Linked DNA regions of Sus scrofa. The protein of the gene in region 2 interacts with the protein of the main gene of each other region in a biochemical or structural test. Links are inferred from orthologs where the notes say so. Each region holds a gene or a part of one and is shown on either strand. Other genes may lie near its edges.

Region 1 (4,844 bases), on a different chromosome or scaffold from region 2:
TTGCTAAGGACCAGAGTAGAGGCATGGACTCTGGGCAGTGAAATCACCGGTGACAAATGACAGCAGCAAAATCCTACTGGACAGAAATGGAGAAGGCAGAGGCAGCACGGTGTGGTGGGAGGCAGGGGAGCTCTGGGCTCTGCCTTGTTCTAGTCACGAGCCAAACCCCCCTCTGACCCCCCTCCCCGGCAGTTACGAGGGGTGGGGCTGTGAGGATGGGGGGTGCGGAGAATGTGTGCTGAAATCAGACAGCAGGCCTAGCACGTGATCCTCAGTATTTGCAGTTATGAGTACATAATCAGTAAGTTTTGTTTCTCCTTGTAGGTATGGAACCTAGATCTGAGGCAAGGCTGGAATGTTAGAAGTCTAGAAAGGAGTTAGTAAGAGAAGCACGCAAAAAAAGGTGGGGGGAGAGCTCCCTGGTGGTCTAGTGGTTAGGATTCAGCACGTTCACTGCTGCGGCCGGGACTCAATCCCTAGTCTGGGAACTGAGATTCAACATCAAGCCACCATAGGAGTTCCCGTTGTGGCTCAGTGGTTAACAAATCCGACTAGGAACCATGAGGTTGTGGGTTTGATGCCTGGCCTTGCTCAGAGGGTTAAGGATCCAGCATTGCCGTGAGCTGTGGTGTAGGTCGCAGACACGACACGACTCGGGTCCCGAGCTGCTGGGGCTCTGGCGTAGGCTGGCAGCTACAGCTCTGATTCAACCCCTAGCCTGGGAACCTCCATATGCTGCAGGAGTGGCCCAAGAAAATGGCAAAAAGACAAAAAACAAAAACAAAAACAAAATCAAGCCACCACAGGCCATGGCCAAAAAAAAAAAAAAAAAAAAAAATAAGCAGCAGGCCATCTGATATCTTTGTCAGAGAACATTGGAATTAAACAGGCCTGGGAGAAAGAGCATTTATCCTACAGATAATTTACAGTAAAACAGACGACAGAGGACTTTTATCATATACATAGAAGTCGACTGCTAACACGAATGCCTGCTCCATTTCTATGATCATGGAACAGGATTTTATCTACATGAAAAAACACTTCAACCTTTGGGAAATTCACCTGAGAAAGAGTGATACAACTTTCAACCTAATACAAATATCAACCTTACGGAGTCAACAGTCACCCTTGCACCCACATTCCCCTCTGGCTTTATGTACTCTCTAATGATTCTTCAGAACACTGTCAAATTTAATGAAGGGTACCTAACTCCTACTGCTGTCTATTTATAGCCTGGAGTTATTTTTGAATAGCGCTGGGCACAAACACCAACTGGTCCAGAAGAAACTTTGATTTAAGAGCGAAATTTTAAGACAATGAGTCAGAGGGTTAGCAAGAAGGTGCTATTATATTTTCTTGCTCAAAGTCACCTAGAAATCCCAAGCTGTCTTTTTAACTCTGTTTTCAGGGGTGAACTTTCAGCAACATCATGAACTATGTCTTGGCCTCTGCTGCTATTTCACATGCTGTCCAGACAAAAAGTGTGTGGCTTCACCAAGGCCAAGGAGGTGACTAGCAAAACTTAATATCAGAAGTAAAAGCAGATGGAGTTCCCACTGTGGCTCAGTGGTAATGAACCCGACTAGTATCCATGAGGATTCAGGTTTGATCCCTGGCCTCGCTCAGTGGGTTAAGGATCCAGTGTTGCCACGAGCTGTGGTCACCAACGAGGCTCAGAGCCTATGCTGCTGTGGCTGTGGTGCAGGCCAGCAGCCACAGCTCCAATTTGACACCGAGCCTGGGAACTTCCATGGGCCACAGGTGCGGCCCTAAAAAGAAAAAAAAGTGAAAATAGAAACACAGTTACACCAGACAGTATGAGTGACCCCATGTGCTCTTTGATGGACTGTCCAGACTGAGCCAGAGAGGGATGGACAGACAGACATTTGAGAATACACACACACACACATCCCAGCCCCTCTGCCATTCCTAAACAGGAGCCATCCATGCCACCAAACATAAGAAAACATGCCTCCCAGAGTTACCTATTGCCCATATCTGGCAGTGTGCAAGAACTCTCCTGCAACAGATAAAGGAAGGGTCTCTCATTTTAGATCTGACGGTGAACGAACTTAATAGGGCCCTTTCAACGGTTGTTCGTGTTTTTGACAAATGATCTGATGTACGTTTTCCTCCAAACTTGCCAGGCAACAAACAACGACGAAAATTTTCCTGTGCACCACCTCACCCCATGAAAAGGTCCTGAGGTTTTAGACACATGCACGTTTGGCACATCTCAGCGGTCCAGGCCACCTCGTTGGACCCTATCCTGTTTGGATGCAAGGCACACATCTAATGAGGGCTTATGAAAGTTAGTTCCTAAGCACCTACGCACATGCAGGGTAAGACTCCACTCCTCTGATACCTGGACCCAAACGGGACACAAGAAAACTCATCACCACCACCACCACCTTCATCAGCACCATCGGCACCATCACCATCTTCTTCTCCATCTTCGTCACTACTGTCCCCAGAAAGTGCGAGGAAGAGGAAGGAGAAAGGGGTGTCGTACATACTACCGTAACAAAAGGAAAAAGGTCATCAGGGAACAAAGGCAGAATAAGAGAAGGAAAGCTTTGCAATCGCTGGCCTATTCATTAAACCTTATGCGAAAGCTTTGCCTACGGACATGCAGAAAACGAATTCACCTCCACGACATACACGCACAGGAACGTGGCGGGGGAGGGGGTGGAGTAATGGAATTCCCGTGCTGCTTCTTTCTAAGGGGCTGAAAACAAAGTGTGGAGGCATAAGCACTGGCCCAGCCCCAGTGACCAGAGGTGAGGGATTTGGTCCCACAAGCCCTTGGTCTGACTGTATTTCAACTATGATGGGCAAGAATACAAAAACAGAAACGTGGGCCTGTGAGCCCCAAACTCTCAAACACAAACTGCTACGGTCTCTGAGACGCATGTGTTACGAGGAGTGACGTGTGACCTAGATTTCACAACTAAGTTACTTCTTTTATTTTGCACAGGAAGCAGGAAGAGTGAGGGAATGAAGGGAAGGGGTGCAGAATGGAGCAACCCAAGAAGCTCCCCAGTGGCCTAGGGGTTAAGGACCTTGCTGGGGTCACTGCTGGGGGTGAGAGTTCGATCCCTGGCCCAGAACTTCCACATGCTGTGGGCACAGCCCCCCCCCCCCAAAGCACAACTCATACTTCCTGATGTTATCAAAGCCTGGCAGGAGCACGGACTGGGGGCGCAAGCCTCCCACACTAAGTTAGACACACAGCAGAAAACACACAGAACTGAGGTCAGTGTCACACGACAGTTCTTCCAAACCGTGTTAACCTCCTTTCCCTGCAGTGCACACACACACCCGGCTCTCCTGCTGCATAGATACCTAGGGGAGCTCCTGAAGGAGGCGGGCCGTCTGCTCACAGCACCGGGGGAGGCGGACAGCAAAGGCGGCCCCGCACTGGAGGATCTCGGTCCGGAGGAGCCGGCGGGCACTGCTTGAGGGCTACTAGCCAGGGTGGGGAGGCCTGGGGAGCCGGACAGAAGGCAGAGGCTCGAGGCGCGCGGGGCAGGAGAGGGAGAAGACCCCCAGGGGTGGGTGACCGTGTAGGGACGATACCGCGGAGACGGGGACTGGCTTCCTGCCGGAGCCCCGGCACCCGCGCCATGAGGACCTGGGGCTGCCTGGCTGGCTGCCCGGGAAGGGGAGGCCAAAGGCGGACTCGTCATGGGCCCAGAGCTCCAGAAACTCGTGCGGGGGGCTGGACTAGTTTCATAGAGGCTACATGAGTTGAGAGAGGGAGGAAAGAAGAGAAAATCGGAGAAAAACTTGAGAAAAATAACTAAAATAGAATATACTGTGTTTTTAAAGGATAGTATAATTATACCTCTTATCCCTAAGCATTCAGGTAAACAAATCTTCTAGTTACCTGTCTAAATAACTGTGCTCTAACTGCAGGGCGGATCTAGAACCTACACGTAAAATATGAGAGAGCTTTCTTTCCTGGGAATAATATTCTATGTACAGCCATTTATCTCTAAATTTGATTTACCAACAGCCTAACCAAGGAAAGCGAAAGAGACCAATCTAGAAAAGACAACACCTCCTGCAAAGAGTCGACCCATCCCCGAAAAGACCACACACGCCACGGTCTCTAGGACTCGGGCCCGGAATGAACATTCCTGGCTGTCACATGCTCCACGGCTATTTTCCCACCACTCGGGTGTGCGCGAGCCACACGGACCTTGACAAGGAGCTGGCGCCGAAGGAGCCCGCGCTGCAGAACATGGGGCTCGTTCCTGGATTGGAGCCGGCATTGAGCAGGAGATTTCTGTCTGGTGACCGAGCTGCCGCTGCGATTGGCTGGGATGTGGCTGTCAGACTGGCAAACGGGTTCTCATCTCTCGTCTGAGTGGACATCATTAGTACTTCCATTAAAATCTGGCCAATCAGGTCCTTAAAATCTGAGAACACTGTTGGAAACACAGAACGAGCGAGAGGTTACACATGGTTCTCCGCGTACACACGGGCCTTAAATAAGCCAATGTGGACCAGGGAAGTTCAGGACGATATCTTGGATGGGATTCTGGAACCGGAGAAAGATGCTGGTAGAAAACCTAGTGAAATCCCAATAAGGTCCGGAGTTGAGTTAATTATTATATCTTAGGTCTGGGAGTTCCCATGTGGCTCAGTGGATTAAGGATCTGGCGTTGTCACCTCTGTGGCATGGGTTTGATCCCTGGCCTGGGAACTTACCCATGTTGTGGGTGTTGCTCCCCTACCCACCCCCAAAATATCTTAGTTCTGACAAATACACTATGGTTATGTGTAAGATGGTAACATGAGGGGAAACCGAGTGAAGCATATAAAGGAACTCCCTGCAC
Region 2 (5,429 bases):
TTTTGAATAAAATTTGATATCTATCTTCTGTCTGCTTACTGCACATACTTGAGTGGGAAGGCTCACAGCTGGCTGATTCAGCTGAGTGCGGGTTGTCTAAGATGCCCTCTCCCAATATCATCTATCTTATGATCCTCAGGAGAAAGGGCTACAGGAATCCTTACTCAGGAATCAGTGCCTTTAGTCCTTCTTGCCAAAAAGGCGAGTACCCCTGCAAACCCAGGATCCTAGGTGAGGCGACAGAATGAGTGGAGTTAGGTAGGTCTGGAAGGTGATTCTTAGAAGGAAGGGACAAGCAGACCTCTGAGTCTGTTAGAATGACACCTCACCCCCTCCCTAATCCAAATTTGGGATTCGATGGTCTTAGTCAAATGTGTCTCTATGGTTAGAGGGTAAAGGATGAATTAAGTCACCATACCACCAAAGCTGCCTGTTGAATATAGTCAGGGCAAGCTGGCATTTTGGGTCCAAGGTCATCAAGTCTCAGCAATGTTTTTTTTTTTTTTTTCTTCTGCTTTAGGCTCTATTGAATCTGTTTGTGTTCTGCGGTTGCTATTTTTTTTTCCTTTTTTTTTTTTTTTTGGCCTCGCCCATGGTAGGCATGCGGAAGTTCCTGGTCCGGGGATCGAACCTCTGCCACTGCAGTGACCCAGGCCCCTGCAGTTATAACGTGGGTCATTTAACCTGCGGAGCCACAAGAGAACTACCTGTGGTTGTCTTTTGATTCCTCTTCGGAATTGAGTGTCCTTTGCATAGCTATTAATATTAATACCCAATGGTAAGAAGGAGCACATACCTCCAAGCCCTGCGGAACTATAAAGCTTGTGGGATTAGGATTACCAGAGGGTGTAATGACAACAGGGAAGAGTGGATTAAGAGCTGGAATGCTAGCCAAAGAGTCCGGAGTAGAGGTGGCTGGAGCCAGCGTTTTGAAGGAGCAAGGAGAGGGGTTAGAGTGCATACTCAGGTTTTGGAAGAAAATGGGTGTGTGGGTTATCACTACAAAAGGACTAGACTAATACAAGGGTTCAATCCATTGTGCCAGGTTCTTCTAGCCGGATAAACTCAGGAGCCAATGAACTGGAGCCAAGTGGGAGAGTCAGCCTCCCAGGGTTAAAGGCTCTCCTTTCGCCAGTCGATCTGGCCCCATTCCTTTCGTTGATTGGTCGAGAGTCCCAATCCGTCGAGGAAGCGTAGCGTTGCGGCCAATTGACGTGGCGTTACTAGGCGTGTTGCATCCCTGAGGCGGGAGCCGGGCCGCAAGCGAATTTCCTGATTGGCTCTGGTCCGCGGGTTGCTGGGGAGAGGAGGCACGGAGAGGCGGGCGGGAGTACCCAGGGCAGGCGCTGATTGGCTGAGTTGTGAGCACCTCTCCTTCCGATGATTCGGCTCTTCTCGCCTCAGTCTTCGCAAAGCGTCTGCAGCCGTCGTTTGAGTTGTCGCTGCCGCTGCCCCCTCGCGGATCAGGCGCTAGCGTCCCCCGCCCGCTTACCGCCCTGGTGCCTCTGGGAGGAAGCGAAAGGGAGGCCGTCTGCGGGTTTGTCGTTGCCGCTCACCCTCCGCCCGGGAGAGCCGAGCACCGGCCGAGTCGGTCGCCTGCCACCCTTCGTAGCCGTTACCTGCGGGCCGCCACAGCCGTTGGCCGGGAGAAGCGCGCGCCATGGCCTCCGGAGCTGAGTGAGTGTGTGCGCGCCCCCCGTCCTCCCGCTGCGAGTGCGCGCACTGGGAGATCCCCTGCGTTGGGTAGGCCCGGCCAGGCCTGCTTGTGGGCGCGTCTAGGAGGTGGAGACAGGGAAGGAGGGAGACGGAAGGAGAGGAAGGGGGCGAATGAGGAGCCGCGGACCCCGCTGGGCCCGGCCGCGCACCCGTGCGCCCCCTAGGCGGGGCTTGCTTTGGGCCTGGGTCGGGGCCTGGGCCGGATCGTGCTGTGTCATGCAGGCCCGGGGCGGCCTGATTGGCTCCTCTCGAACGGCTGTCCTGTCCTAGTGAGGTCTGAGGGCCCACGCTGCCGGCACGGAGCCCCGGGGCCTTGGGGTGTCCACCTGCGATCCAGTCTGCCACCCGTTGTAGGCCTTTGGTCCCCGGAGAGTGCAGGCCACTTGGGCCTGACGCCCTAACTGGGCCCGGTGGGCGTGGACTTTGAGCCACGTGAAGGCCTTAGGAGCCGGGAGACCGAGACCGAGGAGGAGGCCGGAGCAGTGCAAGGCCGGGCGAGCTCAGGGGAGCTCCCGACGGCCCTTTTGGATCCGGGTGGGTCTGGCCCGTGGTTGGCATCCTCTACGACCTGAGTAGTGAGAGGCTGTTACCGAGAGGGCGGGCCCTGCCTTTCCCATCTGGCCTTCTTCATACTTTATTATTCCTGTTTTATTCATATGGGAAGGCTATAGTCAGTTTTCAATAATGTTAGGAAGTGGGGTTCATTAGGTTCTTGCTAAAATTCGAATCTCAGTTCGTATTTTGTGGGCCTTTCTAGATTTCAGCCTTTTGTGGTGTGAAGGTTAGAGTTGCCCTAACTTCTCAAACACACACAGCCTTTTACCTATGTGGAGAAATCCTGAGCTCTCTATTCCTCAGGAAAGCATCAGATAAAACCTGGCTACCTCTGCCCATTTTAGAATCAAGAGCTTTAGATACTGGGGGAGTTGGGGTGGGGGAGGAGAACACTGCCATCCTATGGAAACTCTTCTATGCAAAGCACCTTCCAGACTTGAAAGTTCAGTTTTTTGAGGTGTTCCTTTTTTTCAAGTTTCTGAACCGAGGTGAAGTATTTATTACTGAGGCGCCTATTGAAAAGGGCTGCTTATTAATACTTAAAGTACCCTCTTTAGTTTCCAGTACTAAAAGTCGAAAATTCTTAGAACCTGGCATCATAGACAGTTTATCTCTAGGTCATCTTGATGACTCTTAACTGAACTCTGTCCACGCCCCCTGTGGCCCACTGGGGTCCTGGAAGAGGGCCTTGACTCATGCAGGAAACCAGAGGAAGGTCCCCAAAGAGCCTCCAGGACTGTTGTCAGCCCATGATCAAGCTGACTTCCCTTGTTTAGAGGTTACCTCTTTCGATCTCAGGGGACAGATGTAGAATTAAAGGTCTTTACTTTAAGGGCAGAACATATCAGTCATCTCCAGTGCTGGGCTCAGGAGTGGTAGGCAGATTGGAGGTTTTCCTAGAATACAGCTTTGGGGTTAGAATACAAACTCTGATGACCAGAGGCAACTGGTATTTTATTTCTCTAACCCTAATCCTATACATCCAACTGGAAGATGGACAGCCCTTAGAGGGTATTTTGATGCATGGAGGAGAGGGAGAATGGATGGATTTAAATTGCCCTCGACTCTCACATTGACCATGTTTGCTCTCCAGGGTGTTTGTTGATAAGCATTGGAAGAGTATGCCTACTCTGCAGCATTGTGCCTAACACTTTTGCGCTGGGGAGGCAAGTTTAAGCTGAGGAAATGCCACTTTTGGAAACTAGTTTAAAGCAAATGAGTAAAGGGGCAACCTATGTGAGAAGGTCAGCAGAAAGGTTACAATTTTTTTTTAGGTGAATGGGATTTGTATTTCTTTTGAGTGTATCAAGACCAAAAGATGTAAATGCCTCATAATTTCTTACCTGGTATTTTAAAGCATAGGCATCTTTTTTTTCTTGCAATATTTCCAATAGAAATACTGTTTTGTCTTGTTTTGTTGACTGAAAATCCCCAGATCCTAGAACAGTGCCTGACATGTACATATACTTGTTAATTTTTTGAGTGGAATGGTCTCTTTTTTATTTATTATTTCTTTACATCATCCATTGGCTCGCCTCCTTTTGGTTAATGCGCAAGTTTTCCTGAGCCCTACTAAGAAAAGGTAGCTCTTCAAAAGGAGAGCCCTCTGTGACTCGTTATGAAGGTTGGAGATGAGGCAAGTGAGAAATAGGTGTCAGGAGAGTGATCTTAGCTTCTAGGAAATGATAAAAACCATTTAGACAAATTTTATTTATTTATTTTGGCTGTGCTTTTGGCATGTGGACAGGCCAGGGTTCAAACCTGTGCCATAGCAGTGACCCAGACCACTGCAGTGACAACACCAGATCCTTAACCCTCTGTGCTATAAGGGAACTCCTGTTTAGACAATGTAAACTGAGTTCAGACTTAGGCAACCTTCATTTGGGTGAGAGGATTTTGATTTGCCCCATGTCTCACATTTCTTGGTATTGACTTTTTTTTTTTTGTCTTTTTTTTTAGGGCCACGCCCTTGGCATATGAAAGTTCCCAGGCTAGGGGTCAAATGGGAGCTGTAGCCGCTGGCCTGTGCCACAGCCACAGCCACAGCACCACCAGATCCAAGCCACATCTTCAGCCTACACCACAGCTCACGGCAATGCCAGATCCTTAACCCACTGAACAAGGTGAGGGATCAAACCTGTGTCCTCATGGATGCTAGTCAGTTTCATCTCCTCTGAGCCATGACAGGAACTTCTGGTTTTGACTTTTTGAACCAGCTCCATGGAGTTGTGTCTTTTCAAAGATTACCGTGAAACTCCCTTTAAGCTTGAGCTTTGTTCTGGTGAAGATTCTAGATCTGTTAGTGTCAAGTATTTATTTTTTTTCAAATATGATGGTCTTTGTGCTTTGCATTCCTGTGGTAGGTAGAAGGCTCCTGACATTCAGCAGGTTTATCTGGTAAGGAGAGTAGCACTAATAATTTTGCTTTATTGTTCCCGGGCTTGTTTTGTGGGTCTTGGAGCCTATGGGAGGTTGCCTTGCTCACTTTGTTCTATAAGAAGGTTAGCAAAGAAAGAGCTTATGCTGTGTTCTGCAGTGCTAATCATAGTGACCGTTGATACCATATGCATTTTGTTGAGCATTTTGTGTTCATTACACTCTGAGATAGGTACTACTATAGTCCCCATTTTATAGATGAGGACGTCAGCCTCCAAAGAGGTTAAATAAGTTGCCCAAAATCACAGTTAAGCTCTGGCAGGGTTGGGATTCAGACTCAACAAGTCAGACTACAGGGACGCTTCTCTTTTTAATCACCATTCTATGCTGTCTAAGACTATTTTTATTTCTCTAATTATTGCTCAGGCTTCACTTTTTTTTTCCCCCTCTTTTGGCTGCCCGCAGCATATGGAATTCTAGGGCCAGAGATCAGATCTCATCTGCATTTGCCATCTATGCTGCAGCTGCAGCAATGCCAGATCCTTAACATGCTATGCCAGAGATCAAACCTGTGTCCTAGCGCTCCAGAGATGCCACTGATCCCATTGTACCACAGTGGGAACTCTTCAGCCTCCACTTTTACTCTTGTCATCTTAGTTTCCTGACCCTGGGACAAGATCGCCTGGGGCCACGCAGCTAGGATACCAGGAGTGCTCAGAATACTGAGTTGCCGAATGAGGAATTGTAACATAGACTTGATATTCTTCTTGACCTTGGCTGAA
Region 3 (4,844 bases), on a different chromosome or scaffold from region 2:
GGTCGCAGGCACGGCTCACACCCCGTGTCTGCCACAGCCTGTGTGACCTGGAGCAAGCGGGTCACCCTGGCCTCGGCCTCCATGGGCACAGGAGGGTGTGTGAGGCCAGGGGGGAGCCCCCCAGAGGCCCCTGCTCTTAGGACCAGCAGCACAGGGGTGGGGCTGGGGGAGGAAGGGGGGGCGGGGGCGAGAGAGTGGCTGGGGCACTGCGACGCCCCTCACCGGTGGTTCCAGTGCCCGGCACGCGGCAGCTACCCTGGGTCTGTCCCGTGGACGAGTCTCTACTCTAGCAGAGGGAACCCAGGGGACAAGTGAGTGAGAAGAGGCACAACGACCGGCTGATGCCACGTGGCAAAGCGCAGAAAGACACTCAACTTGGAGTCCAGTTATTTTCCTCCAGAGGCAGAGCTGCTATTTCCAACCTGCTCTAGAAACGGCAGGCCGGCGGGCAGCACTTTCCATGTTGATGCTGCGTGGCCGCCGGGCATAGAGGGATGAGTTCTGATCAGCTAGAGAGGCACACTCAGGAGGAGGGGCTCAGAAGAAGGCCTGCCTGCCGCCCCCCCCACCCCGGCCCCACTCAGAACAGACAACAGACCTCAGTATCTGGGGGGGGGGGCACAGGTACAAGGTCACCACAGGGGCGGATCTGCCAGCCGGGCAGCATGGGGCCCCCAGCACAACTGGAAGGGCTGACTGTGCAGGAGTCGGCCACATGCCCCACCACCCGTGCAGCCCAGCCTCTTTGGGGACAGGGACACGACAGAACCAGGGGTCCAGGAGCCCAGCTGGAGGCACTGGCGCCACGCACTCAGCCGACTGCCCACATCTGCCCCGAGAGGCCCGCACCCTCCGGCTTACCATGCCGAGGACGGCGGCCGCCTTGCAGGTGGCGGGCACCAGGTACTGGAGGAGAATCTCGTCCTCTGGGGGGTGCGCCCGCCGCAGCTCCGTCAGCGTCAGATACATCATCTCAAACTGGCTGCGCTCCGTGAACAAGTCAGAGACCACCAGAAGCTGGAGATGGACACGGGGCAGAGGGGCGAGTCACGCCGCCAGGAAGCACACCACGTGGTCCAAGTGGCTTCGCAGGAGGCCTGGCCAGGAGAACTGGCATCTTAAAGGGCCGTAGGGAGGGTAAATGATCAGATACACAGTGCTGTGTGCAGAACTGATAACCCACGAGGACCCACTACAGAGCACAGGGAACTACATTCCATGTCTTACAATAACCTACAAGGGAAAAGAATCTGAAAAGGAATACATACACACCCACGTGTGTATAACTGAATCACTCTGCTGTACACCTGAAACTAACACAAATTGTGAAGTGACTCTCATTAAAAAAAAAAAAAGAAGAAGACGACGACTTTCCACTGTGGCTCAGTAGGTTAAGGACCCAACATACTGTCTGTGAGGATGCAGGTTCACTCCCTGGCCCCACTCAGTGCGTTAAGGATTCCGAGTTGCTGTGGCTGTGCTGCAGGCTGGCAGCTGAAGCTCCAATTCAACCCCTAGGTCGGGAGCTTCCATATGCCACAGGTGCAGCCCCAGAAAGAAAAAACAGAACACAAAGACCAGCGTGGAACTGCGCTCCCCGCAAGCCCATGCACTCTGCGGCCTGCGCGGGAACAAGCACCCACAGCAGCCCCACAAAGGTCCCAGCAGCCGAGAGGACAGGCTCCCAAAAGCCCCCAAATAGAGAAATGGGTGATTGCTTCAGAAATCAATGCTTTGGCAATGATTCTTGTTTCCCAAAAATGTTGTTTTTCGCATCCTATCTGAAAATGAGCCCTGAGGGGGCAGGAAGGCCCGTTCTTTGGGAGCGTGTGTCAAGGCTGGGCTTGGCGCTTCCTCTGAGGCCAGGGGTGAGCTGAACAGACTCAGCAAACTGTCCAGAAGAGCAGTTCTTACGGGGATGGGACCCGTGGATGCCTGCGGGCCTCTGGGGGTCACGGGTGGAGACGGTTTTTATAGAAACGCTAAGGCCCCCTTGCCGTTCTTTCCCGGGTTTCCCCGACTGCACAGCGGCGCGGTCTAGAGCGACCTGATGTTAGAGGGAGAGCAGAGCAGGCACGAGAAGCCCGGTGGTTTCTACCTAAGGAGCCAGACACCAGAGCTTGCAAAAGAACAAAATAAGGCTCTTCTCACTGTTTAAAAAAATCATTTTTAAACAGAAATTGGTATCATTACTGTTATTTTAAATGGATAGGTAGGGAACTTTTTTAAAACTTAAAGCGTTCTTGCTGTGGCTGGGCAGGTTAAGGACCATTGTCTATGAGGACGCGGGTTCAAACCCTGGTCTCGCTCAGCGAGTTAAGGATCCACCAGCGTTGCTGAAAACTGTGGTGTGTGTCGCAGATGCGCCTCGGACCTGGTATTGCTGTGACTGCAGTGTGGGAACTTCCACGTGCCACGGATGTGGCAATCAAAAGAGAAAAAAAATTTAAGATCTTTAGCAGTGCCTACAGTTGACTTTTTGAAAAAAAAAAAAAATCAATTTATAACTACTTACGTTATAAATTGAAAATTAGGTTCTTAAAAATCCCAACTTGACCAAATATGAGACAATTTAGAAACTTTCAAAGGAGTACAGAGAAAAATAGGCTTTTGGTCTTTTTGGCCACGCCCATGACATGTGCAAGCTCCCTGGCCAGCAATCGAACCCACGCCCCAGCAGCAGCCCCAGCCACTACGTGGTAACACCGGATCCTTAACCCAGTGTGCCACATGAGAACCCCGAGAAAAGCAGGCTAAAAAGAGTCTGCCGTCACCAGAAAGCGACATCTCTTGGGTGAAAACACTATGGACCCTGTGCTGCACAGACAACGCAGAGGGTCCCGCGGACAGGTGCCTCTCCCTGCTGGACCGCTGACCCAGGTGACGCAGAGACGCCTGCGCGGAAGAGGCAACGTCCGATACGACAAGTACGGCTGGGTACCACCTCCGGAAATCAGTGCTCTCTGGGGTCCCCAGCCGTGTCGAGAACGGACAGGACCCCCAGGCCAAGAGCTGGAGAACACCTGCTCCGAATGGGCGCTTCTCAGGGGGACTGCTGGTCACGGGACGGAGCCGGGCCCGGGGAGAGGTGGACAAGGACGGTGCGCCTCAGGCCTCACAGGAACGTGACGCTGCCGTGTGAGCGACACATCGTGACACGTGAGTGCTGTGTCGAGCCGCTGCCACGACAGCCCCACCGGCCTTACCAGAGCCCAGCCCGCCAGGGGCTGGACATGCGAAAACCGCTCCCTCGCGGGCTCGGAACCCGGGGACGGGCACCTGGGGCGCTGCCGCGCGGGGCGGGAGGCGAACTCACGGATCGGACCACTTCGCTGATGAGGATGACGGGGGTCCTCCTGGCCGCGCTGGACGGCAGGATCCAGCGACTGTAGAGCTCGAGCAGAAACTGCGAGCAGGAGTGGATGTCAACGCCAGCGCGGTGCTTCCTGCAACCCGAGCACAGACAGAGGTCACTGCAGCCGCCTGCCGCCAGCGCGCTTCCAGCTGCTCTCGACCAAAGGCAGACGGGAACCTGGAGTTGAGCGGCGACGTGGGCGGGGATGGCACGGGGACGTCCGCCTCCTCCTCCTCCTCCTCATCCCACTCCTCCTCCCGCAGGGGCGTGATGCTGTTCCCCAGCCACACGGAGTGGATGGACACCTGCAAGGGACACGAGTCGGGCTCAACCCTCGGGCCGGCGGCCGGGGGTTCAGGGGCAGCAGACCCCCCACCCGGCAGGGCTCAGACCCACGGGACTCTGCACGGCCGGGGGCGGGCACGCTGGAGGGCGCCACCTTCAGGACTGCAGAGCCAGAATGAGGGCCAGCCAAACCCAAGGGAGCAGCCGAGGAGGGGAGGAGTCCGGAGACAGGACGCTTCTGCTCCTGAGCGACTCCCCAAGGGCGTCTCAGCAGAAAATGGAATCGGAACACAGGGTTTCTCTTCAAAACTGGTTCTCTCCCTGGTAGTCGTTTGGGGACCCCCTTTTCTGAATCACTTGCTACAGGTGCAGAAGGGTGAGGTGCTTATTAACCTGGGGGGCAAGGTGGGGACGAACTTGGGAGCCTGCGGGGAGGCCCGCTGGGGGCGGCGCCAGGTGGGACCGAGCCCTGCCCTGGTGCCCTGCACTGCCCCAACCCCACCCTGCACTGGAGCTGGCGGCGGGCAGCCCCAGGCTGGAGGTCAACTCTGCCCCCAAAGCAGCCTTCAGGCCAAGGGAGAGTGGCTTTTTGGCCCCAAAGCCGGTGGTGGCTCAGGACCTGGGTTCAGAGCCACCCAGTGCAGCCCCACTGCCTTCAGCGGCCGATGTGGATGCAGAGCCCCAGGGCCCTGGCGCACAGCCTGCTCCACCAAAACCACGGAACCCCGAGCACCCCGTCTTATCCCGACCAAGGTCTGCTGAAATAGCTACAAAGGAAGCGGGCCCGCACGCCCGCCTTCTCAGTACAGCAGCAGCAGGCCGCGAGGCAGCGCGCAGCCTGAGTAGCGCAGGTACCTGCCCGCCCACCTTCCAACCAGGAGGCTGAGGTGCACGGGCCGAGTGCAGCGTCCGCCACCCTGGGCCGCGTGATCGCACCTCCCTCGGGGCAGGCGGCCGGGACGCACGGGGCCGAGCCTGCAGCCCGGTCCTCCAGCGTCTCCCCGCCCTCGCCAGGACCGACTCACACCTGTTCTGACAGGACCTCAAGCCCTTCTTGGAAGACGGAAGATTAGGTAAAAACACACGCGTCAAGCTTCCTTCTCTTTACAAACCGCACCCGCCTTCTCTCCAGGGCGCTGGGGGGCCAGGCGGAGGACGGACGGCAGAGACGAGGGCGGGGCGACTGACCTGGCCCAGCTGGTAG
Region 4 (4,302 bases), on a different chromosome or scaffold from region 2:
CGAGGGTGACATAAAGCGCCGTCGCCGCAGACGCCGGCCTGAGAGAAGAGCTGCCGGAGACCCGGGGCTGCTCAGCATCTCCTCTGAAGGCCAGGCTGCCCCTCGGCGTGCAGCTCACACCCGCGGCCCGGGGAGCCAAGGACGCGGCCCTGTCCCGCCACCAAGCTGTCCCCCCTGGCCAGCCCCCACTCCACAGGCTGTGCAGGCAGAGGGGACACACCGCACTTCCACTTACTTGGTCGATGTTTTCCTGAGAAGGACTTTCTTGGTGGCTGTTGGTTTCAGGATCGGAATCATTTAACCACCACAGCTGAGGGTTACTGATAAGAATCTAGAAACAGAGGATCACCCGTCACACATCACAACCAGCTGCTGAGTGGCGCCTGTGTATGTGATGTGGGGGCAGACCCGCCAGAGGACAGGCAGAGAAGGGTGGGGACATGGCGGTGACCCAGGCCCAGGGCGCTGCGGAAGCAGAGAAAAGGCTGGGGCTGGGGCAGCTGCTGCGGCCAAGGTCATGTCCAAGTTGAGGTCTGGAAGACGAACAAGACCATCCAGACACAAAGGTCGCCCGAGGGAGGAGGAACAGAGTCCCTAGAGCGGGCGGAGAAGGGCTCCAGGAGAGCAGAGGGTTTGCTGGAACTCAGCCTCTGGGGTGACAAGGTCCCAAAAGGCTGTGACCAGAATGCAGAGAGCTGGCTGCGTGCAGGCGGCCCAACGTAATGTCTCTTGGGAGGTGACCAGCTCTGGATTTCAAACGTCAAGGACACCAGAGTTCTCTGGACCCTTGACCTCTGAACTGTCGCATGACGCGTGATCTCATAAAAGCTCGTTGAGGAATTTCCCTTTTAACACTAAGTCCTTCTATATTGGTCAAATGTATTTATGTGCTATTTATATAATTAAAAGCCATTTTTGAGGCTCATCAGTCCCTCCACATACTCAGAATTTTTTGCTTTTTTTAATTTCTTCCAATCAAACTAGAAATTCACATGACACTTCTGTATTAAATTCAGTTGCCCCTGCACAACCTGAGGGTGGAGGCGCTAATCCTCATCTCGTGGGGAAATCCACACAGAACGGACTCGGGGTGCTCTGGACCCCCAGCTGCTCCGTGCCTGCAGCGCGAGCAGGTCTACATCGTACTCACCACCACTGGAAAACCGAGCCACAGCGGGAACCCCAGGGGATTTCTTTATAAAGCCCTTCACCAAGTGTACTACTGACTAAAATGATAGAGCTGGATACTCAAAGCATTTTAATTCAAAAAAGCATAACTTCAATCGAGTCAAAGTTAATTCAAAACAACTTCAATCACCTTTTCTTTCAAGCTACTGCGAAGCCCGTGGTGCAAGAGGAGCCCCGCCGCCAGCTCCGCCTCCCTGTGCACAGGTCCTGTGCATCTGGCTCCACAACTGGGTCGACCAACAAGGAGCTCGGGCCCTGAGACCCCGGCAGGCAGGCACGAGGCGGGGGTGCCGGCGGGAAGGGGCGGCGGGGCGTTACCTTGAGGGCCTCCTCCAGGTTGCCGGCGGCCTGGTGCAGCGCCTGCCTGGCCGCGTGAGCGGAGTAGCCCATCCCTTTCAGACAGTTGACGTTCTCCAGGCGGCGCCGCTTCTTCTCCTTTTCTTCCTTCCTGATCTGGGCCAGTTCCTTCGGGGAGACGGCACAGTCACCGAGGGGTGGCGGTGGAGAAGCAAGCCGGGCTCTGCAGGCCTCGTGGCCGCCGAGCCAAGTGGAAGCCAGGAGAGGCGCCCTTCTCTCCACCGGTCCCGCCCAGGCCGTCAGCGGCGTCAGGGCCCCGAGGGCAGAGACCCCTCCCCGTCACCACCACCACCACCAGGACAGGCTGTGGAGCCAGTGAGCACACCCGTGTGGCCCCGAGACGCAGATGCAGCTTCAGGGGGCCGGGGGTTGCGGGGGGAGCCTCCCAGCCTCCAGTGAGGCAGCGGGATCCTGCTGAAACGTGACTCTGGATGCGGGGCCCTGGACGGGGTGGGCACGGTCCGCACGGCGCCAGGGCCGCCGATCCCCCTCCACGCCTTCCAGTCTCCCAGGAGCAAGAACTGAGGGGCCGTCTAGGGCCTGCCGGCCCATTTAATTAAAACCCCCAGAATGTTCAAGGTCCAGGGACAAAGGCTGTCAAACCCCCATGGTTCTCGGCCCCAAGTCTCAGAGGCGCCTGTGTTGCTGCAGCAGTGAGTGAGGCTGCAGAAGCTGCAGTCTCTCCCCGCCCCCGCCCTCGGCAGGAAAATTCTGATTTGGTTTTGAAAACAAGTGTCATTTTAAAAGGATTTTCGCTGCTTAAGAAAAAACAAAAAACTAAAGTTCAAAAACCACTAATGGAATCCAACCTCCTCATCTTGCCAATGAGAAGACAGAAATCTCTCAGGACATTTAAGTGACCTGGTCAAGGTCATGGCCGACAGCGGGGCTGGGACGAGGGCTTCCGCCTCCTAGAGATGGCCAGTCCCCCCCAGGACAGGGAGCAGAGAGAGAAGAGCCTCCTCTTGGACGTACCTGCTGCCACGGCCGTGGCTCAGCCCAGGCCACAAGGGCCCCCTCAACACTTTACAGCAAGAAAACGGCCTCGGCTCCCGGAGAAGAACGGAATCCTCACCGAGGACCCCAACATCCCCGGAGGCAGTAGGACACGGCAGAGGGGACGATGCCCCAACCTCTCCAATTACGACCTCAGACCGTAATTTCCTGTTGACAGCACTGGAGACGCTACTGTGAGCAGCCTGGACAAAGGGTGGCACGGCGGCTCTGCCATCCCCCCTTCATCCGGCTCCTTGTCTGTCTGTGCCCCCAGCACGACCTACAACTGCCTGCCTCCTCGCGGCCTGTCTCCACCACTCCACCCCTGCAGCACAGGCTTCCTCATCTCACCCAGACCAAAACCCACAGAGACCCCTCCAGACCCAGTCTCGCGCTGGTCCTTGTGTCCCTATTCGGGGCTCCACCTCCTCCAGGCTGTCCTCTGGGCTGACCCTTACCTGCTCCACCACAAACCCACACAGGCCAGCAACCTCACTCTGTATCGCTCGAGCTCAGGCTTTTATACACACATACACCTCGTGTAAAAGACTCCACCCCACCCTGATTTCAATCTCAGCTTCTTCCGTGCATATTTCAAGAGGCTAAATAAGGGACACGAGGGACATGCAAGCAGAGAGGACGCTGCTGCCGGCCAGCCAGCAGCCATGGGGCTTGGGCATCATCTAACTCAGAGCCGACACAAAGTCAGCCTCAAATAACGCTTTCTCCTTAATTACGACTCAGTTATCTTGTAATCATGGAGATACACAAGATGAAACTCAAGTATGTTCTGATATTTCTCTTTATACCAGAAAGAATTACGCAAATAAACCAAAGAAATGACAAAGAGAATGACACTCAACTGTCTGTGGACACAGTGGAGAACTGGGTTCTAAACTCAGGGAGCTCAGCTGCATGGGCGTGTTGAGGGGTGAACACCTCTTAGGAACCGGCCACGCTGCCCCTCAGGGCCCCTCAACCCTTCAGCGCCGTAAGGGACCCCAGTTTCATTTGCCAGATGAGAAACTGTCCTGTACTCAGGGTCACGATGTACAAAAAAGACCAACTTCCTGCAATGACATGTTACCCTCCGCTCTGCAGGATCTGGGAGGAGCAGGTCCATGGAGCTCACGTCCTATGGGACACCCCAGCTGCCCCAAGGGTGTGGGCGGCCTACCAGCTCCCCGAGGAGGCCCTGACCAGCCTACGCTAAGGAGCCAGGCTTGCCACTCAGGTCTTGGCATAGTCCCCTGGCCACAGCAACTGGCCCAAGGATGGCCAATGAGTGGACGGCTCAGGAGTCTGAGGATGCTGGGACCCAGACCCTGCTCTTGGTGTGAGGGGGTGACACCACTAATACAGAGGAGGCTGAGAGACAGAAACCAGTGACGGGGCAAAGCTACTGAATCGGCTAACCTGACACCTAGCCTGCCTCTGGGCTCCTTAGAATTAGGCAGGCTGCTAAATTCTCCCCCAGCCCTTTTTACTGGGTGTTAAGCCCCTTTGAATCGGGCTTCTTGTTGCCTTCCTTCCACCAAAAGCATCCTAACTACACATTCACTGGCTGGAAGAGCCAGCAGGACCAACTGCACGATACACACTTTGTTTTTCTTTTATTTTCTCCAAGAGCTTACAGCTTAGTTCAGTAAATGCACATCTGATATGCCTCCACTGTTTTCTTCTTTTCTTTTTCCTTTTTTCTTTTTCTTTTCTTTTTTTTTTAATGGCTGCATCTGTGGCACATGGAAGTTCCCGGGCTAG
Region 5 (4,844 bases), on a different chromosome or scaffold from region 2:
TGGGGAGAGAAGAATAAAGTGCCATTAGGGTGCATATTTAAAATAACATCCCGTTCATTCCCGTCTACAAAGTCGAGAGCCAAGTTGTAATTAACAAGTCAGATCCCCATAGGAGAACTGGTTCATCCTTTTCTAAAGAGCACCCATTGGAGTTCCCGTCGTGGCGCAGTGGTTAACGAATCCGACTAGGAACCATGAGGTTGCAGGTTTGGTCCCCGCCCTTGCTCAGTGGGTCAAGGATCCGGCGTTGCCGTGAGCTGTGGTGTAGGTTGCAGACGCAGCTCGGATCCCGCGTTGCTGTGGCTCTGGCGTAGGCTGGTGGCTACAGCTCCGATTCGACCCCTAGCCTGGGAACCTCCATATGCTGAGGGAGCGGCCCAAGAAATAGCTAAAAAAGCCAAAAAAAAAAAAAAAAAACACCAAAAAGTCCCAACAAAAAAAATGTGATTTAGTGAGTTTACAGTCAGTACCTGTAAAAATGTGCGATAGTCCTCACTAGTAACCCCTCCTTCTGCCATTCTCATCCTCTCTTCCTCATCGAGCTGGTGTGCAATTGAAGATAATTCCACAGGGCTGAAGTACTCTCCTTGCAATAGGTTATTCAAGCAATGTTGAGCACAAAGCGAGCCTTCTTGCTATTATTTCCGAAAGAAAAAATTCAAATGTGATTTGTTAAACAGATTTGTATAGCACTTTCCCCTCAAGAGAAATTTAACCATTAACTTCTTAACCCAGCCCAACTGTACGGTTTTAGCTTCAGACAAGCATGATTAACACAGGTACATGCATTTTGTTAACATTTATTTTAAAATTCTGCCCTTAACGAAATTACAATTACTTAGCTATATGATCGAAAACTTAAGAATGATTTATATTAAGTAAACATTATCTATTAAAGACACCAAATCTCCTATTTTACTAAAAACCCTAGCATTAACATTTAGCCTCCATCATTTTCAGTGGCTAGAGCAAATGCATTTTTAGCAATTCCATGGTAAATTACTAATGTTGAAAGGAAACTTTAATCCCTAGAACATTTGTCCTTCCTGTCTTTTTAAAGTATAGTTGATTTACAATGCTGTGCCAAGAACATTTGTTCTTTTAACGAGATAATCTTTACTCCATCTAAATGCGCGTTCATAGAATTTCAAATTCATGAACACATGAAGAATCTCAAGAATTGGTACAGTAAGAAAAATTCTGTTTGATGTTTATGAAGACTTGTAGCTATGGGAGTTCCCACTGTGGCTCAGTGGTTAACGAATCCGACTAGGAACCATGAGGTTGCGGGTTCGATCCCGGGCCTCACTCAGTGGGTTAAGGATCCGGTGCTGCCGTGAGCTGTGGTGTAGGTCGCAGATGTGGCTGGGATCCCGAGTTGCTGTGGCTGTGGCTGTGGTGTAGGCTGGTGGCTACAGCTCCGACTGGACCCCTAACCTGGGAACCTCCTTTTGCCTTGAGTGAGACCCTAGAAAAGACAAAAAGACTTGTAGCTACAGAGCCGAGATTCTCTGCAAGGAACTTCAAGGATAATTTACACAGTGTTGTGCAAAGAGGAGAACCACCCCCTGAGCTCACTTCTGGACAAGCCAGCAAGGTGGCTGCATCCAAGTTCAGCTCCCAAGAGATCACTGGCTTCCTGTTAGGGGCGTGGGGAGAATACAACTTCCCAGGGACCCCAGGGTCTTTAGGTGCTGGGCATCTGGCTTTCTCCTGCAACTGGCTGGCACCCCAAACCTAAATCCAGGTTGCCTCCAACTAAGCAGCCTGCTTATCACCCCTCTCCCACAACAATGCTGCTTTCCTGTTTCCCAATGACAAGGGAGACCCACAGGCGCATGAGACCCCTCCTTCCCTGTGAACCCAGCCTGGACTGGTCCCCTCAGGGAGATGATGGCAGAGAAGAGATCTTCTTCTGCTGCTAACCCTGGACCTCAAGGTTCTCCACTTCCCCAATAAAGTCTATTCCCTCACTCAGTCTGCCTGACATCCTGCAGTCTGTGCCGAGTTATCTGACCCCAAAGACCAACACCTGCAGGACACATCTCCTCCCTGAGTTCATGCTCTAGGAACAAAATTCAGCTGCAGAAAAAGACACAGGATATGTGGACTTAACGGACTAGGAATGCAGTGTAAGGCAGGGGGGCTGAGACAAGTTTATCTCCATGTTTCAATGGGGAATAAGTAGCTTGATACCAAAGAAGACAACATCTATCCCTTAAGTCACAGCCACGATGGTAAGAGAGGACTGTCTCCAGCTCTTTTTCCTTCCTTTCCTACTGCCACTGAATAATACAACGTGTTGGTTGAATAAAGCAACTCCCATTGAATAATTCAGTGTGAACTGAGGGGATAACAGATGCCCTTTATAAGATTCTGAAAAATAATTGATAAAAATGTGTGTGTGTATAACTGATTTACTGTGCTGTACACCTGAAACTAACAAACTTTCTAAGTCAACCATACTTCAATAAAATTTTTTTTGAAAAAGCACTTGAAATCAAATCTTATCTAAGGAAAACTGTATTGCTTCAGAAAATAATAAAGTTCTGTACTTCTAATATGATTTAACAGAAAGAAAGAACAAATTACTCAGTTAAAATTGGGGAAAAAAATAACTTTTTTCTGTTTTGGCTGCCCCTGCAGCATATGGAAATTCCCAGAACGGGGACTGTGTCTGAGCCAGAGCTGTGACCTACACGGCAGATGCAGCAACAATGCTGCATCTTTAACCCACTGTGCGGGGCCAGGATCAAACCGGCACCTCCACAGAGACAAGCTGGATCATTAACCCACTGTGCAACAGTGGAAACGCCTAAAGAAAATCTTTTTTTTTTTTTTTTTGTCTTTTTGCTATTTCTTGGGCCGCTCCCACGGCATATGGAGGTTCCCAGGCTAGGGGTCGAATTGGAGCTATAGCCACTGGCCTACGCCAGAGCCACAGCAACGCGGGATCCGAGCAGCATCTGCAACCTACACTACAGCTCACGGCAACGCCGGATCCTTAACCCACTGAGCAAGGGCAGGGACCAAACCTGCAACCTCATGGTTCCTAGTCGGATTCGTTAACCACTGCGCCACAACAGGAACTCCACACCTAAAGGAAATCATTTTTTTAAAGCCCCAAATGAGTCAAATTCTACACGGACCCATTGTAAAATGGGTCCATCTAAGAGTATTCATTTCCCTGCCCACCCCACCTCCCAACTATCCCCAGCCACCTTTTTCTCATCAAGCTTTAACCAAAACTGGATCGACGTTCACTTTGCTATAGTCAAAGTTCAGTGGTATTGAAATGCAATGGTCTCACGCCCAGACTTGTGTTGGAATCACAGGATGCACGAACTGCGTCTTCAGCTTTACCAAGATATCTTACAAATTCACAAAGGGTAACTGCAACCAAATCATTCCCTCACTGTCACCAAAGTCTTGAGGACCAACCTGAAACGAGTTCAAATTCCAAGAGACACAACTGTCTACAACAGAAACCATGCATAAACCCAAAGATGCGCTCAGAAATGGCCTAACCTGGGCCATGCAATCAACCCAGCAGCACTTCATCTCACCTTAGTAAGAGTAAGGTCTCACCTCTTCTTATGAGGTTCGGCGAACACGAGCATCTGAATAACAACAAGCCAGCGCTTCTCCAGCACCATGTGCCAGGTAGCATTCTAAGCACTCATAAGGCTGAGGCAGACACTTCATTATCCGCAAAGGCACAGGAGGAAACTGGAGCACAGAGATAACGAGTAACTTGCCCAGGATGACACAGGTAGTAAATGGCGGAGCTGGGATTCAAACCCAGGCAGAGGTTTCAAGTCTGTACTATTACCACTTCCCCAAGTCACTTATTGGAACGTGGTGATTTCTAAACTTCAAATATCCTAAAGATAGTTAAGAACCAGCAATCACACACACACACACACACACACACACACACACACACACACACACACAAACATATTGTCATAAAGTCAATGCTCAACATTTTTCCAGTATTTTCACTAATTTTAAATATAATCCCGGGAGTTCCCGTCATGGCACAGTGGAAACGAATCTGACGAGGAACCATGAGGTTGCGGGTTCAATCCCTGGCCTTGCTCAGCAGGTCAAGGATCTGGCGTTACTGTGGCTGTGGTGTAGACTGGTGGCTACAGCTCCGATTAGACCCCTAGCCTGGGAAACTCCCCCCCCCAAAAAAAACCACCAACAAGTTTGGTTATCGTTCTCAGTTGTAAACACATAAAAGTACTGATTCAGACGGCATAGTCACCTCACCAAGAGCAGTCAGCAAGAGATGTGATATAAAAATGACAGAAAGCAGGCACCAGAACTTAAAAAAAAACCCAAACCAAACCAAACCCCCGGGCAGTTGGTGGCCATTGAGCATTGGGGTTTAATTTAGGAACTGGAAAACTCTAGCCTTTGGGTCAAATTTAGTCTGCCCCTATGAATGGGTTTAACACTTTAAGATGATTGGGAAAACACACACATACAAACATGTGAGAACATAAATGACTGGCAAAGTCTAAAATATTTACAGAAAAACTGTTTATTTATTTTTGTCTTTTTGCCACTTCTTGGGCCTCTCTCGCAGCAAGCACATGGAGGTTCCCAGGCTAGGGGTCCAATCGGAGCGGTAGCCACTGGCCTACACCAGAGCCACAGCAACACAGGATCCAAGCCGCATCTGCGACCTACACCACAGCTCACAGCAACGCCAGATCCTTAACCTACTGAGTGAGGCCAGGGATCAAACCCACAACCTCATGGTTCCTAGTTGGATTCGTTAACCACTGCGCCATGACAGGAACTCCAAAAACTGTTTACTTTAGATAAATGGC
Region 6 (5,442 bases), on a different chromosome or scaffold from region 2:
TCACGGCAACGCCGGATCCTTAACCCACTGAGCAAAGGCAGGGACCGAACCCGCAACCTCATGGTTCCTAGTCGGTTTCGTTAACCACTGCGCCACGACGGGAACTCCTTTTTGGTCTTTTTTTTTTTTTTTTTGGCATGGATTTTTTTCAATAGTAAATACTACAGTACTACAAGGTCCACCGTTGGTTGAATCCAGATTGGAAACCACAGATACAGAGGAACCTCATATGTGTATAGAGAACTGTGCAAAGGGTTGGTGCCACTAATATCACACTTGTTCAAGGGTAAACTGTACTGCCTACAGTTCCACAATTGCAGAGGCAGAGTTAAATAATTGAAAAAGAGACCCTATGGCCACAAAGCCTTAAACATTTATTATCTGACACTTAATAGAAAATGTTCATTGACCTCTATTCTACAGAGTCACTGAAAATTTATTTATAGGAATTAGCAACACACTGTCAGTTAAATACACTATTCTTGGAAGCTGGTCCAAAAACCTACATATTTATTAAGAACTTCTCACATATATCTGGCAAATGAATGGTAACTGAAGTGGGAGATATGGTTCAGGGTCTTGCTCAGAGATATTGGAAGAAAATTCCAAATTTAAAAATCAAACTGAAGGTAAAGCATCAAGAACATTTAAAGAAGGTGCTTAAGCATACATCTCAAAAATATAATGTCAAAAAAAGCATTTGCTGAGATTTGGAAAGAAATTTCTGCAAAGAAAGAAGCCATTGGTAAAGTATACTTTCAAGGGCATGGTGAGGTAGAGGGTGGATTAAATTGTTTAGGCTTCATCTTCTAAGAGGAATAAAGGACGCTGATCTACTGGCAAAACAAAGCCACAAATTGATACATACCCTTACAATATAGGATGCATGATTTTGCTGTCTTTCCTTTCCCCTCCATTCTATTTTGTCCTTATTGAGTATGTGTTTTATTTTGGTCGATAGAGTTTTCAACCCACTAGGCTGCAATCTGCAGTTTTGAAAATCACTTCTTTACAGTGGCATCGTCCTATCTGAGCTGGGACTTAGGCAAGAAATTTTCAATCATTTATTTCTTTAGAAAAAAAAAATCCATACAGGAAGAACCCAGCATAGTTTATGGCCATGCGTTTGGTCATGAACATGGTTAGCTGCTTCCTTCTGGGGTCGTTCATCCACATTTATTTAGCAAGGCCTGACAATCGGCGAGGAGGAAGCTCTAAGACAGTTTCATTGGGGAAAGGGGGGTTTCCCCACCTTCCTGGCCGGATCAATTGAGGATGGCCCGCGGGGGGTGGGGCGCAGAGGTACCTGGGTTTCTGCTATGCAAAAGCCAGCACCCGCCAGCCCTGGCCCTAGCTTCCCGCTCCTCCCCACCAGCCCTTCCAACCCCACCCCGCGGCCCCTCCCAGCAGACACCCGTGGCCAAAGCCCCTGGACCAGGACGACCAGGACCCCGCCGTCTTCTGGTCGAAGTTCCTGGGCCCTGACGACCTGGCCCCTCATGGTCCAAACCCCTGACACTCCCCAGACAACCCCCAGCCCACCCAGCCGAGCTCCCCCGTCCTTCCTAGAAAAGCTCGGTCCCCCACCCTGCCCGAGGGTAGCCCCCGCCTCCCCGCCGATCCCCTCTCCAGGCCAACCGCCCCCCGCCCCGCCCTGGAGACCAGCCCCCGCCCTCCGGCCGAGCCCCCGCCCTCCGGCCGAGCCCCCGCCCTCCGGCCGAGCCCCCGCCCTCCGGCCGAGCCCCCGCCCTCCGGCCGAGCCCCCGCCCTCCGGCCGAGCCCCCGCCCTCCCGCTCTCCTCCGACGCGCGGCCGCGGAGGCGCCTGCTCAGTGCGGACCCGGCGTGGGGGGCGGCGGCCGCGGCGCTCAGGCATGGCGGCGGCAGCGCTGGGCAGCTCCTCCGGGTCCGCTTCCCCGGCCGTGGCCGAGCTCTGCCAGAACACCCCGGAGACCTTCCTGGAGGCCTCCAAGCTGTTGCTCACCTACGCGGATAACATCCTCAGGTGCGAGGCAGCGGGCGGGGCACCTGCTCGGTCTGGGTCTCGGGGGGCCCGGCCGGCCCTGGTGGGGTGAGGCCGGGATGGGCGCGGCCGGCCCAAGCCCAGCCGGAATGGGCGTCGGGCTGTCTCGCTGCTCCTGGGACCTGACACCCGCTATCGGGGAGCGGGTAGGACTGGGTCCCGGTTGGGGCGAGGGGAAGGGGCGCCCGGGCGGTGGTCTCGGGTCCGGCGTTGAACCGTCTTCGTTTCGGGACAGAAGCGGTAACAGGGTTTCATTGACACTGCGAGAATTTTACCCAGCAGGTGCTTTCAGTTGCCACACGCTTTTCAGAAGTTACGGACGAAATTTTCCTGCCCAGCGTTTTGTGAATATCCCAGCAGTAAAGCATAGTACTACTGTAGTATTAGCGAAGATACCCTTGGCGAAAAGTAGTTTGTTTCATTTTCCTGGGAACACTAGCATACTTCTAGATCTCTGAGCGACTTTACAGATTTGGGGAACTGGGAAATAAGCTTATTATTCATTTTGAATCATCACCTCCCTCACCTCTTAGATCAAATAATGTGTCTTGAGGGACTTGATGTGGGGAGGGAAGCGGAGCCCGGGTTAAAGGAGCACCAGGTGCCAGGTACTTGAGTGGTGTCACCTCGTTTATCATCAGTTCACCGTGATTACATGGGCTCTTGGTGCCCCCCTCGCCCCTGGTGCGCTGACTCTTCTAAGCGGTAGCTATATTGGCTTGAAGTCTAAAAGGAAATCCTTCTCAATTTCAAGGTTATAGATTTCACTGGACGCAGTTTTAGAGCCATTCGTTACAAGTGCAGTGTTTTAACCTATGGCAGTTATAATAGCGTTTGTATAGGTAACAATGATTTTAAAATGAATTGAAGGAAAAACATTGAGCCCTTATGTGCCAGATATTTTGAGGGTTGCAGTGTACACAGTGCACATGGCTGCACAATTGTGACCTATGTGGGGACTGCTTTCCTCTTCTGTGACACCTTCTCCTATCACCTTCTCTTCCCTGGGAGGTCTCACAGCTCTTCAGAGTGCAAGGATGCTGGAGGACTCTGCTTGAATGAACTCTCAGGCTGAGTTCTCCAGAGCCAGGACCTCCCACCTGGAAAGCCACCAAACTATTTAAACCTAACTATTCAGAAAAGGGAGGTGGCCTTGTAATGAGGATTCAGTTCTGCCTTCAGTCCAGTGAAACCACAAGTGATGAGATCAAGGTGTTTTGAGGACGGAAATCCTTTGCATTATAATCATTATGAATGTTTACCAAACTAAGAAAAAGCGAGGCATGCTGTCAATTCAGGTCACAGTCTTTATATGGCTTATGTTTCTTGAAAGGTTTTTATCTAAAAAGGGAATTAGTCTGGAACTCATATAAGTGGAGATGGTATAAAAAACTACCCTTTCTAAGTTTGTCTTAGGTAAGAGTATTAAATCCTGCCCTCATATTCTTATAATTCAAACTCCTTCGGTCTTCAGAGGGGAGAAGCAGCCACCTTTTCTTTCCCTTCCAAGTCCAGTGACTTGCTTGTCTCTTAAGAGAAAAACCCTGGATCACTTTTGACCCCTTAGCCACACTGCATTACAGGTATGCTAATCTAACTTATTTGAGAGTAGAGAAAAACCACAATTTTCTGTTTCATTTGCTGTTTTGGGAAATTTATTAGTGTTAAAGATAAGGGACTGTACAAGAGATTGTAGTCTTGAAATCACTTGCTCCTACCTCAAGATCTGACATAGTGTTTATAGGATGAGAGTTTCATGGGCAGTTTTTTGTTTTGTCTTGTTTTGTTTTTTAACAGCAACGTTCCTCACTATACACAGGTGAAAATAATACTTTGGGTTAAGTTAAATTTCTGCTCCAGGTGTTTATTTCTGTTCCACAACTAAGAGTCACAAAGCTAATGAAATTGCTGACTGAAGTGTATACTAATGTGCATGCCCAATGTGCTATGGTTTGAACCATTTTTTTCAGTTCATTAACTTATAGATAAAAGTGAATATCTACTTCAGTATCTGCTTTTTAAAAGTCTATAATGATTTTACTGGCCTTTTACATGGGTTCCCTAGAAAATGTGCTCTGTTCATTTAAAAAAAAAAAAATTTGGAGTTCCCGTCGTGGCGCAGTGGTTAACGAATCCAACTAGGAACCATGAGGTTGCAGGTTCGGTCCCTGCCCCTGCTCAGTGGGTTAAGGATCCGGCGTTGCCGTGAGCTGTGGTGTAGGTTGCAGACGCGGCTCGGATCCCGCGTGGCTGTGGCTCTGGCGTAGGCCGGTGGCTACAGCTCCGATTGGACCCCTAGCCTGGGAACCTCCATATGCCGCGGGAGCGGCCCAAGAAATAGCAAAAAGATAAAAAAAAAAAAAAAAAAAAAAAAATTTGATGGGCGTTCCCTCATGGCTTATCGGGTTAAGGATTGGGTTAAAGATCTGGCATTGTCACTTTTGTGGCTCAGGTTCCATCCCTGGCCTGAGAACTTCTGCATGCCTAGGATGCAACCAAAAAAAAAAATTTTTTTTTCCGATTTCCCACTAATTTCCTTTGCAAATTGCACACGATTAACTGGTTACAAATTGTGCTGGGTGTGATTGGGAGGAGCCAGGAATGGAAAGTGGTTTCTTCCTTTAAAGAAAATAAATATGCTTGGGAGAGGGAAACTGCATAAAATCTAGAGAACAATTCCAAGATGACGTTTAAGCACTTACATGTTTACTTGAGATGATAGCAGGGGGGCCTAATGAGAAGATTTCAGAACAAAGGTTTGATAAGAGAACATGTGTTTGACATGATAGGTAAGAGCGAGCATTTGTTAGTTTCTAGACTCAAAAAAAAGCATAGGGTTTCATGTATAATAATGATATAAGAAGATTTGAGGCGTGGAATTCATTTCTGAAGCTATTGCAGTTAGCACAAGCCTAGCTGTTCATGGAATGGAGAGAGGATAGGAATTGGCATGGATTGGCAGTTCTTGAATACTGAATGCCAAGAGTTGGTAATGGGAGGAGAGAATAACTCCCACACTGCTCACCTGGGTTACTACTAACACCTGGAGAAATTGAGAGGTTGTTAACTGAGAATGGGTGAGTTTGTTGGCCTCTTGTATGGTGCAGTGTATGTAAGCTTTGTTTTCAAACCAAGGGGGTTAAATCCCAGTCAGCCATTCCTAAGAACGTGATTATAGGTGATTTAGGTAAACGTTCTGGGCTTCAGTTTCCTCGTTTTTAAAACAAAAGAACAATGCCTACATTACAAGATTGTTGCAAAAGATAGTGATAAATAAAGGACATGGCACATGTGTTATTTGTTACTCTTCCTCAGTTTTTCTTGTTAAACTAGACTGTGTACAGGTTTCCCTTGTTGTCAGCTACAGAGAGTGGTAGAGTTAGGGCCAGAGATGGTTCCCAGATGGTTCTAAAGGCAGATA

Evidence for each region.
Region 1: the proteins of VCP (region 2) and UBE4B form a complex in vitro, tested with the Homo sapiens proteins (2 studies listed by BioGRID and IntAct). The link is inferred for Sus scrofa from reciprocal best matches to the Homo sapiens genes VCP and UBE4B.
Region 3: the proteins of VCP (region 2) and HTT form a complex in vitro, tested with the Homo sapiens proteins (3 studies listed by BioGRID). The link is inferred for Sus scrofa from reciprocal best matches to the Homo sapiens genes VCP and HTT.
Region 4: the proteins of VCP (region 2) and NUB1 form a complex in vitro, tested with the Homo sapiens proteins (2 studies listed by BioGRID). The link is inferred for Sus scrofa from reciprocal best matches to the Homo sapiens genes VCP and NUB1.
Region 5: the proteins of VCP (region 2) and ATXN3 form a complex in vitro, tested with the Homo sapiens proteins (5 studies listed by BioGRID and IntAct, with this or other methods). The link is inferred for Sus scrofa from reciprocal best matches to the Homo sapiens genes VCP and ATXN3.
Region 6: the proteins of VCP (region 2) and NGLY1 form a complex in vitro, tested with the Homo sapiens proteins (2 studies listed by BioGRID). The link is inferred for Sus scrofa from reciprocal best matches to the Homo sapiens genes VCP and NGLY1.

The regions. Positions count from the first base shown.
Region 1 is NC_010448.4:70,407,353-70,412,196, reverse strand, and holds part of UBE4B (ubiquitin conjugation factor E4 B), read right to left. Parts: intron 4,434-4,844; coding exon 4,205-4,433; intron 3,742-4,204; coding exon 3,346-3,741; intron 2,516-3,345; coding exon 2,366-2,515; intron 1-2,365. UniProt on the Homo sapiens protein: Ubiquitin-protein ligase that probably functions as an E3 ligase in conjunction with specific E1 and E2 ligases. May also function as an E4 ligase mediating the assembly of polyubiquitin chains on substrates ubiquitinated by another E3 ubiquitin ligase.
Region 2 is NC_010443.5:235,865,667-235,871,095, reverse strand, and holds the start of VCP (transitional endoplasmic reticulum ATPase), read left to right. Parts: upstream 1-1,383; 5' UTR 1,384-1,660; coding exon of another isoform or gene 1,661-1,677; intron 1,678-1,883; exon of another isoform or gene 1,884-2,250; intron 2,251-5,429. UniProt on the Homo sapiens protein: Necessary for the fragmentation of Golgi stacks during mitosis and for their reassembly after mitosis. Involved in the formation of the transitional endoplasmic reticulum (tER).
Region 3 is NC_010450.4:1,920,802-1,925,645, reverse strand, and holds part of HTT (huntingtin), read right to left. Parts: coding exon 4,829-4,844; intron 3,661-4,828; coding exon 3,533-3,660; intron 3,447-3,532; coding exon 3,317-3,446; intron 1,018-3,316; coding exon 862-1,017; intron 1-861.
Region 4 is NC_010460.4:5,901,438-5,905,739, forward strand, and holds part of NUB1 (NEDD8 ultimate buster 1), read right to left. Parts: intron 1,654-4,302; coding exon 1,507-1,653; intron 332-1,506; coding exon 236-331; intron 1-235. UniProt on the Homo sapiens protein: Specific down-regulator of the NEDD8 conjugation system. Recruits NEDD8, UBD, and their conjugates to the proteasome for degradation. Isoform 1 promotes the degradation of NEDD8 more efficiently than isoform 2.
Region 5 is NC_010449.5:113,638,831-113,643,674, forward strand, and holds part of ATXN3 (ataxin-3), read right to left. Parts: intron 636-4,844; coding exon 471-635; intron 1-470. UniProt on the Homo sapiens protein: Deubiquitinating enzyme involved in protein homeostasis maintenance, transcription, cytoskeleton regulation, myogenesis and degradation of misfolded chaperone substrates.
Region 6 is NC_010455.5:12,674,122-12,679,563, reverse strand, and holds the start of NGLY1 (peptide-N(4)-(N-acetyl-beta-glucosaminyl)asparagine amidase), read left to right. Parts: upstream 1-1,797; 5' UTR 1,798-1,872; coding exon 1,873-2,003; intron 2,004-5,442. UniProt on the Homo sapiens protein: Specifically deglycosylates the denatured form of N-linked glycoproteins in the cytoplasm and assists their proteasome-mediated degradation. Cleaves the beta-aspartyl-glucosamine (GlcNAc) of the glycan and the amide side chain of Asn, converting Asn to Asp.